Schizosaccharomyces pombe: one gene and its partner. Changing the gene in region 2 together with the main gene of any one other region gives a genetic interaction. Each region holds a gene or a part of one and is shown on either strand. Other genes may lie near its edges.

Region 1 (4,195 bases), on a different chromosome or scaffold from region 2:
TAAAATCCATGGCTGATTAATATTGAATCCAAGTAGCAAATCCCAGGCATTCGATCAAAACAAAAAAGAGCTATAAAGTAAAAAAAAAAAAAAATCAAGAGATATTAAAAACCTGTGCACTAAATCAAAATCAAAAATTTGGTAACAACTCGATAAGTGTAATTTATTCCAATAATGAGCCTTGACAAATTATGAAAAAAAAAACGTTATGTAAAAAGAAATAATATCGCCGGGATGAAGAGCTTTCTATTGTAAAGTATTTGAACCGTAATTCAGCTTATAATTGGAAAAGTATGTCGCGCGACGTTACTTTGTAAATTATAACAATATTCAAAAACTCAAGTAAAACTTGATCAGTCTTCAAATAAATACGTTCATAAGGCTAATAACAAGTAAAAAAGCTCTGTCAAACATCCGTTTGGCCAAACACAAAGTTTATAGGATCTCTGTGGATGTTTGTGTAAGGTAGGCCAATTCATATTACGCGCCACAGTAGCTCTTATAGCGAAATTTAGTAAAATCGTTATCCAAAGATACCGTTGCATATTACACTACCAATGTTGCTGAAGAGAAGCAAGAATAAATGGCTTGAGAAAGGAAAACTTGTAGATGAATGTTTTAGAACAAAGACATAATTATAAACTACATGAGGAATATTAGGAATCATAATAGAAAATACTAACATGAAAAGATTGTTGGTACATGATAGAAAACCGATTCGCACACAACGATGAATGAGACGAGAAGGTACAAAAGGATAATCGAATACAGAAAAACCAAATAAGTGCCCAGATGCGAAGTAGGAAAACATTTAGCAAAACAAGTTTAACCCGGTTGTTTTGGATAATGAAGTCTAAGGCTAAAAAGAGAACGTAAAGCACAAACAACCAACTCCTAGAGAATAAATTAAAATAGTAGACGACCAGCGTTACCAACAATCGTAGAAGCGGAGAAAAGTATCATAGGAATCCATAAACGAAACTGAATTTCAGGGAATTCAACTCCATTTAACTCACTAAATTTGTTAGCTGATAAACGAATGTTTGAAAATACTGGAGCAGCCTTTGGTAGGCAGTTGATGGATAACAACTAACATACATTTTTGAGGTATCAACCAAATTATAATATAAGATACTCCCCAACACAGAAGTAATTGTCGACAAAATAATACCGTTTCTTGAGCGATCAAATATATACCAAATGCTAGCAGAACTCGCAACGAGTGCAACAATGGAGTGTGAATTCGAAATAAATAGTAATTTCTAGAGATAAGTTAGCAAGAGTATATTCACGATGCATAGTAAGCATTGGCAAAGAGGGTTTACTATCAAACTTAAATTCTCAGAAAACAGCACAACTTATTTATGGTGATGAATAAACTATATCAAGAAGTCGTTACGCATAGATAATTGCTGTAACTCCATACATCTTGCATATATATTTCACTTTTTTATTTAAAGGAACGCCTCGTATAATGTAAAACTTACCTTCATAGAAAGTAGCAATGTAGCGAAAGCAGCAAGATACCGAGAAATCCATTGCCATTTAGACGATTGTGAAGGGCGTAAAGGGGCAGCTCCCAAAGGATACTTCGTATCCATACGTCGATAAGAGAGTCCAAGTATGACAGCAACGAAGCCAAAAATTGCAGGCCATGGGGGCTCAAATTTCCAACTTTTGAGATTGACCGTCAGAAGTGGTAGCTTTGCATCTTGCACAATTTGTTCAGCCAAATAAGTAAACACAAACCCTAATCCAAATATAACACAAAGCTTACAAAAAAAAGTTATTAAAGATGAATAGTCTATAAATGTTATCCCTTTCTTTCTCTGTTTCTTTAAATCATCATCGATCTGTCTAGACGCGTAATCTTCATAACTACTCAGGGATTCATCATCTTCTGCCTGCTCTTCATCTAATTTAAGTGGAGCAAAAAGCCCTGATAGTGTCGATTTCATATTGTCCAAAGAAAGTACCGACAAGGACTTCTTGACCGCTCGATTTCCATTATAACCATCTGGGTAGCGCGGACGGGGTTCGTAAATCTCTTTTCTGCTCATTTTATTCAAGCTTACGGCACCTTTCTGTAGAGATCCTTGTGAAACTGACTAAATGGATGGAGAAGAATCAATCTTTACGTTTAGGTACTTGGCAGAATCGAGACATTGCACAAAACACGCATAGCCCAGTGACAAGTAACAATTTTGAGTAACAAAGATCTCAAGTAAGAGAGATCTGAAATGAATAAATATTTACAATCACTTTTATATGTGAATTTGACCTTTCTAAATTATAGAAATATACTCAAAACTTTTCTGCATCCATATTACTCTTATTGTTAAGGTATATTGTGCTTTGATCACTTGAAGATGCATGCCATAAGTAATGACAATGTTAACTAATAACGAAAATATCCAAGGAAAAAACTCTCGCAAACACTCATTCTACGAAACAATCAGCCACGAAGAAATTGCTTTAAATAATTAAGGAAATTTCATAATTGAGTCTGTATGCCTAAAGTGGTTTCTCTAGTTTATTCAAAGTATAGCAAATTCATCTACTATTTTTAAAACCGCAAAACAAAAATATTAATTGAATAGAATACAAAAAGCAAAACAAAGTTATGCTGACTACATGATGCCAACAACTTTCACCTTCCGTAGAGAATCATCATAAAGAAAAAACAATATTATGGTTATAAAGTTTGTCTCATCACAAGAAATAAATTCTTCAGTCCAAAAAACTATTTAATAGACTTCAATATATTAAAAAACAAAGATCATTCTAACCATTTGGACACCTAAGGAATTGCGCTGAAAGGTAAAAATGTCACCAAACTATACTTATCAAGAACCATTTATGACAATAATTTTCTTCTAAATTAAGTGTGAGATGTATCAATTATGAAAGAAAGAAATAAATTGAAACTTCTTCAGCTTATTCACCTTAAGAAGAGGTTTATAACTGTTTGCGTCGAGGACTATCAAAAGCGTGATAGCTGATTTGAATAGAGGAAAGTAAACGGCAAGAAATAAACAAAGTTGGAACCAATACAGCCAATGCCAAATAACCCATGTACAAACCAGGAGTAAAAAATTGATATTCGGTAAACAGTCCCGTCGCACCATTGTCGGTGACAGGGTGCTTCCTTGTTTGGTGCATAGCAAGCGTGGTTTGTGATCCCTCATTTTGATCAGGTAAAGAAGCCAATTGGCCGTGTTGAAGAGCACTCTTCCCTGAGTTGAGACCACCTAGCGTTTGAATTACAAATTCAGCATTGGCCTCTTCTTCGTTAGCATCAACCTTAAATCCTTCAAAATCTGAGTTATTCAAAGGAGAAGAGGCTATAATTACATTCCACTGAGCATCTTGTTCCAAGGTAGATTGTAAGTTGTAGAACATTTCATCCAATTCCATTAATTGTGCACTTCTATGATAACTTTCATTTGACAGTTCATTCATGTAAACAACAGTTATGCGATCATTTTGAAGAGGAGGAAAAGCATTAAAGGATCCACCCAAGTAAACTACCTCAACGTCGCAGTTTTGCTTTGCCGAATGCACCAACTCTTGTGAGTCCAAAGACTCCTTGGAATAAGGAAGAAGTAAGCTATAGGGTGATTGCAAAGAAACACGCTTTAAATGTTTAAAAGCTCCCAACTGAAAATCATTAACCTCAAGGCCTGGTTGATGTATAATTAAGGTAGCTGTATTGCATGTCGAAAGTGCCTCAATTGCGGCGTCAAAAAACATCATAGGGCAAGTGGATATTGAAGAATCATCGGATGATTTGGGGAGTTTGCTGTTTTTAGTTAGATTAAATAATTTACACAGTATAATGCCATCGATGGATGCAGGACATACGAGTTCGTAGAAAATAAGAAAATCGGCGAAGTATCTTTAAATGCTGATACTAAAGAAAAGCAAACTATAAATAAAATACTCCAAGAAAACATTTTGACACTAAATTTTCTTTACTTTGGACAAGTTTGGATGTTGTCAATTGCTTGAGCGTTGGAGTGGTAGAGAATAGCTCTATATACTACTTTCAGTATCTAAAGGTACTAAAATCCTTCTGAATGAACAAGCTACATATAAGCAGATAGATTATGTAAATATAACATGTTATTTACGAGAAAAAAATAATACTACAAAACACAAGACGGTGTAGATTTTGTTCCAAAATCATGACAAT
Region 2 (5,890 bases):
ATTAAACCAAAGCGCGCTTGCCACTAACGTTAACAAAAGTCTCGGATGTAAGCTCCTACGATATAAGAGGTAAAAGTTCCGAAAACAACTAATTTTTGTCCCTATAATAATATCAGGCTTACTTGATTTAAAGTGGTGGATTGAATCTATGCTCATATGCAATTTTGAGTGCTATCCACTTATCTTTATTGACACATACACGGCGTATTGTTGCTGAATGAAAACCGAAAAACCGAAGAACTTTTAAATATCAACATAATGATCAAAAAGCCAATGGCGGTGTAAATCCTTAAATAGATATCATAATGAATTGTGAAATGGTAACGTCGCCTGAATCGGTCAACTTAGGAGACTCCAACAGAGCAGTAAGTCCATTTTGCCTGCCCGATTGCTCAGAAAACGCAGTTGCTCAGACGAGGAGTAAAACCTTAGATAATGCTGCTTTGGATCTCCCATATGTTGGCAATAGGAAGAAATCGGAGCAGGATTTCTTTAAGATGCTATCATCAAGGGATCGCGATGCTCATAGTACTCTACGTAAACGATCAAATTCTTTATCTTCTTTTCTGAGTACGAAATCGACATCAGCTTCAGAAAATAAATTCCATGGAGGATTGAATTGGCTTTCTCTGAAGTTAAATCTTTTGCTACGCTTGCAAGGTCGAATGAATTCTGCGAGAACAAATACTTCAATGAACCCTTACTCATGCGATAGTAACGAAAACTTATCTACTCTGAGCTCGGTGAATCAAAACTTTAATTCTCGACAGCTATTAGCTACTATAGTCCCTGAATCTATTCAAAACGGATGCTCTTTACTTCGTATAACCAAGAAAAAGGTGCGCCAACGTAAAGTCTCTTTAGACCCTATATCTGGATATCTTATGCTGGACAAGAATACTGGTAAAGCTTATAAGAAGCTTTGTGTTGATGACATTAAAGAAATTCGACAGGGCCGCGATGCTCGTAATTATAGAGAACAGTACAAAATTTCTTCTGAGAACGAGAAACGCTGGTTCACAATTATATATTGTGCTGATAATAAATTAAAGGCTATGCATATGATATCTCCAACTTTAGATGCGCATAATCAATGGATTATGGCTTTAGAAGGTCTAAAAACTTATCGATTGAATGAATTTATTATTGGACTTAATCTCGTTTGCCATCAAGGTGAAAAAATGATAGATTATTCAGAGAATTTAAATCCCTGGGAAAAGTTAGAAAAGGAGCAAAGTGCACAGTTGGATCTAGGAGACGTGCATCGCATGTGCCAAATGCTACATTTGAATGCATCAATGGAGTTTTTAGAAGAAACATTTCAAAAGGCAGATGCTGATCATTCTGGAAAGCTAAGTTTTGAAGAATTTCAGCATTTTGTAAGCCTTTTAAAAACAAGATCCGAGATTGTAGATATTTTTAAAGAATATACATCTGGCTCTGACAAGATGTCTTTGGAACAGTTTCGTCACTTTCTATCAACTTCTCAAAAGGCTCGTTTGGATAGTGACTCAATTAGGACTTTGTATGTCTCTTTTTGCTCAAATGATGATTCAAAAATGGGTTTGATAGAATTTACTTCCTTTCTACTTTCTCCTCATAATTCTCCAGTAGTTCCTGTGATACAAGATATGTCGCGACCACTGAATGAATACTTAATTTCTTCGTCGCATAACACTTATTTACTAGGTAAGCAGTTTGGTGGAGAAAGTTCAATTGAAGGTTATATCCGTTCGCTACAGCGTGGCTGCAAGTGTATTGAAATCGATTGCTGGGATGGACCGAATGGTCCTGTAGTTTGTCATGGACATACATTTACTTCTATGATAAAATTTAATGATGTTATTGATGCTATACGAAAATATGCTTTCGTCGTTTCACCTTATCCATTATTCATTTCTTTGGAAATTCATTGCTGCCCTGACCAACAACGTCAAATGGTTAGTTACATGAAACAAGCATTTGGGGATACTTTGGTGATGAAACCCGTTACCGCTAACGAATCAGTTCTTCCTTCACCCGAAGATTTACTGAACAAAATTTTGCTGAAAGTCAAATGTTCAGCAACACCATTGCACCAATTTTCGACAGACATACTGAAGGTTGGGATAACTGATTCTTCGACTGATACTACCGAATCATCGGAGCTAGAAAATTCAGAATTAACAGGGTTAAGGAAAGGTAAAAGACGGATGAAAAATATCATTGTGCAGGAATTGCAACAGCTTGCACCTTATGCCCGATCATTGAAATTTCGAAATTTTTCTTTACCGGAATCAAAAACGTATAGCCACATATTCTCATTTTCGGAAAGGACTATAAAAAAGCATGGAAAAGCTATGGTTCCAAGACTTAGCAAACATAATTTACGCTATTTGTGTCGTGTATACCCTGGCCCATTGAGAGTAGGAAGTACAAATTTTAATCCTCAGGTGTATTGGCGCCTGGGTGTGCAAATGGTTGCTCTAAACTGGCAAACTTATGATACAGGTCTTCAAATAAATGATGCTTTGTTTATAGCTGATCCTCCGACTGGGTACTTGTTAAAGCCACCTTGTCAACGAATAATTGGTACAACAGTTGGCGAAGAAGGACTTCCTCGTAAAATAAAATTAACAATAGATGTCATATCTGGGCAACAACTTAGAAGAGCTAGAGAACTTTCTAATTCTGAAACTCTCAGCCCTTATGTTGAGATCCAAGTTCATTCAATGGAAGAATCTCCTTTTCGTTGGTGTTCCAAAGTTGTGCACGAAAATGGATTTCGACCTTTTTGGGGAGAAACCATGGTTTATGAGAGTATAATTAGTGATGACTTTTATTCCATGATCCGATTTCTCGTCCATCATCGAGGAAGTAATGGAAATGACTCTATATTTGCTAATTTTACTTGTCCGATTGACAGACTGCAACAAGGCTATAGACATATTCGTTTATTGGATATGCAAGGCGAAAATTTGTTATTTTCGAGTTTGTTTTTGAAAATTAAAAAAGAAGACATTTAGAACGCTGTGTCCATTACAGCACTTTCACCGTAATGAAACTTCAGAAAATCTAAAATGCATATTATACGTTAAAAGGGAGAGAACCGAAGTAGTCTGAGAATGTTTAGAGTGTATGAAGCGTTTTTTTATTTTTATTTTTTTTTTTTAAAAAAAAAAACGCTATACAAAAACATTCATGTTTATAAATATGGGTTTGGGATAAAACTTTCAATAAAAAGTCATAATAATATCCACAAAGCGGAAGCTCAATGATTTGTACGCAGACGATGATTGCAATAATTTATTTAGAAGCTGACATTATTTACAAAATCGTTTAAGCTTTTTACAGCTGCATCACTACGTAGACCTTCTCGGTATATATCCGTTCTAATTTTTTCCCAAAAATGTACTTGTTGAGCGTATTGTTGTTCGACATTCAATAAACTCTGGGATGAATTCTCGCACGCAGACTTGCAGCTTTGAAGTTTACTTGACAAACTCGAGTCTGGAAGATTAATCTTCGGCAATTCTACATTCGTATCCGTAGAAGCTGCCCCAAAAGACGCTCTTGTTGAATTATTGCTAGGGACTCTATAATGATAGGGAGAATTGTGTTCCTTGGAATTTGTAGATGAAGAGGGTGAATCATAACTAGATCTGGGTGTTTTTGTTCTTTGATGGTAGGATTGTCGGCTCCTATAACTAGATTCATAAAAACTGTTTTGATCAACGTTTGATTTCAAAGGACTACGATACTGGTGGTCGTTTCCATCATAGTGGTAGTCATTTCTTCTGCTGCTCATTAAAGTGAATAATTAAGTGCTGATATTAATGGTTCTTTTTTTTCACGAAAAATGTACACTATCTAATTAAAACAATTGGTTAAAGAACCGAAAAATAGTAATACTTAATTCAATTAAAATCACGGTGTGAGAAAACGGTTTGAGGTAAGACTATTTTACGTACCGCGTTATATAAAGCCCTTCGCCCATATCGATGTTTGTTTGTTGTTTAATATATTAAGTCTAATGATATGGGCAATACTACGTTGAAAAGCTAAAATCGTTTAGCAGGAATGAAATAATATTATATTTATATTTTTTTATTTGAGAAATGTCCGCCTGCTGTTAAAAAATTCCATGCGAATGTTAGGTTTGTCTGTTGTCTTAAACGAAATGGGGTGACCTTAGGAAAGTATTATTACTTAGTTTTAAGCCAAATAATATGTAGCATAAATTGTAGTTGATTACAAATGTTATCTGCTTCTATCTCCTATATATATTGTTTGCCAATTGTTCCATCGATGTTAATCATTTTTCTTTCCAAGACTCCGCAGGATGTGTGTTCAAGGTCTTAATAGCATCTCCAAATATGGGCAGCATTACTTAATAGTTAAAAAAGGTTCTTTACAAAGACTTGGAAAGCTAATTTATTAGTACGAGGTCTTGCTTATAACAACTTTACTGCATTCCCTCCACACTTTACTTGATACACAGATGTACTAAACACAATCCAGCTAACCCACAAAGTTTGAGTGTTATTTAATTTGCGCCTTTTTTTGGATCCTTTATATATTGTAAAACTAAGTTCTTAGATAATTATATTTTACTACTGTTAAAACATTCTATTTCAAAATGGAAGTAACTGTTTCAAACCTCTCTTACACGTTTTCTCCAAAGCAGCCTTTAAGTCTTGATCACGTAACTTTAGATCTTCCTAAAGGATCAAGGACTTTACTTGTTGGAGCCAATGGAGCTGGTAAGTTTCGCGGTGTTATGGAAATTGATGAAGAATATTTAAATGCTAACTGATGTCCTCTTGGAATTTTGTTAAACAGGAAAATCAACTTTACTTAAACTTTTATCTGGAAAATCGCTTGCGAAAGCAGGACATATATCGGTGGGTGGTAAAGATCCTTTTCGTGAGTCTAGTTCTGCATTTGTTTATTTAGGAACTGGTAAGTTCTTTTAACATCAAATTTTACTGATGTGTGCGTTTGTAGAATGGGTTAACAACCCTGTTATACATAGGGATATGAGTGTTGCACGATTAATTGCTTCTGTTGGAGGAGATAAATTTGCCGAACGTAGGGATTTCTTGATTTCAATTCTTGATATAGATCTTCGTTGGCGAATGCATGCAGTGTCCGATGGTGAAAGACGACGTGTTCAACTATGTATGGGACTTCTGCGTCCATTTGAAGTACTTTTACTTGATGAAGTAACTGTAGATTTGGATGTTCTTGCCCGGGCAGATTTGTTAAATTTTTTGCAAGAGGAAACGGAAGTAAGGAATGCTACTATTGTTTATGCAACACATATATTTGATGGTTTAGCTGAGTGGCCAACTCACTTGGTCCATCTCAGTCTTGGGCGTATCGTGGATTATGGACCAATATCCAAGTTTGGTGCTCTGATGACAAGGTCCTCTACGGGAAATAGCGCCCTTCTAGAGACATGTTTGGAATGGCTCAAAGAAGACAAAAAAAATAGGGGAACTCGAGAAGAGGAAAAGCGTAGTACCTGGGACGACGTTCAAGAATCATTAAAAGTTGGAACTGATGTATTTACTGATTACTTTAAGATTTCCCGAGCAAAATAGATTACTAGAAAAGTTATCCTTTAGATGCTTAATTCTATCTTTAACAAGCATTACAGTCTTACTAGAATTAATAATTATACCTTTTATTAATTATAATTTCATTATAATTTGTTTAAGTCATTTAATTGTCATTAAAAGTCATTAACATTTCAAACATCATTATCTCTTAAGTTCATTGTTATTCTCCAGCTGCTTAAGCATGCATTCAGCTTTAAGGACGACTGTTTGTCTCTTTTTATTTGAGCCTTCTAGAGTTTGTTTATCATTTTCATAATTCATTAGAGTTTCGATTGTTTGTTTCGATG

Evidence for each region. Genes that interact genetically often act in the same process or in processes that back each other up.
Region 1: mutations in shf1 (region 2) and ins1 together harm fitness less than expected from each alone (positive genetic interaction), as found in Schizosaccharomyces pombe (one large-scale study listed by BioGRID).

The regions. Positions count from the first base shown.
Region 1 is NC_003421.2:415,518-419,712, forward strand, and holds ins1 (INSIG domain protein), read right to left. Parts: upstream 2,151-4,195; 5' UTR 2,061-2,150; coding exon 1,488-2,060; intron 1,282-1,487; exon of another isoform or gene 1,263-1,281; coding exon 1,099-1,262; exon of another isoform or gene 1,016-1,098; coding exon 907-1,015; 3' UTR 640-906; downstream 1-639. Other genes in the region: histone H3-K4 methyltransferase Set1, read right to left, coding at 1-10; family protein BIG1, read right to left, coding at 2,959-3,802, 3,865-3,956.
Region 2 is NC_003424.3:4,807,481-4,813,370, forward strand, and holds shf1 (histone H2B-K119 ubiquitin ligase complex (HULC) subunit Shf1), read right to left. Parts: upstream 3,929-5,890; 5' UTR 3,788-3,928; coding exon 3,290-3,787; 3' UTR 3,006-3,289; downstream 1-3,005. Other genes in the region: phosphoinositide phospholipase C Plc1, read left to right, coding at 306-3,005; CCR4-Not complex subunit Caf16, read left to right, coding at 4,619-4,742, 4,822-4,941, 4,987-5,585; formin Fus1, read right to left, coding at 5,745-5,890. UniProt on the Schizosaccharomyces pombe protein: Component of the histone H2B ubiquitin ligase complex (HULC) which plays a role in transcription regulation by catalyzing the monoubiquitination of histone H2B to form H2BK123ub1.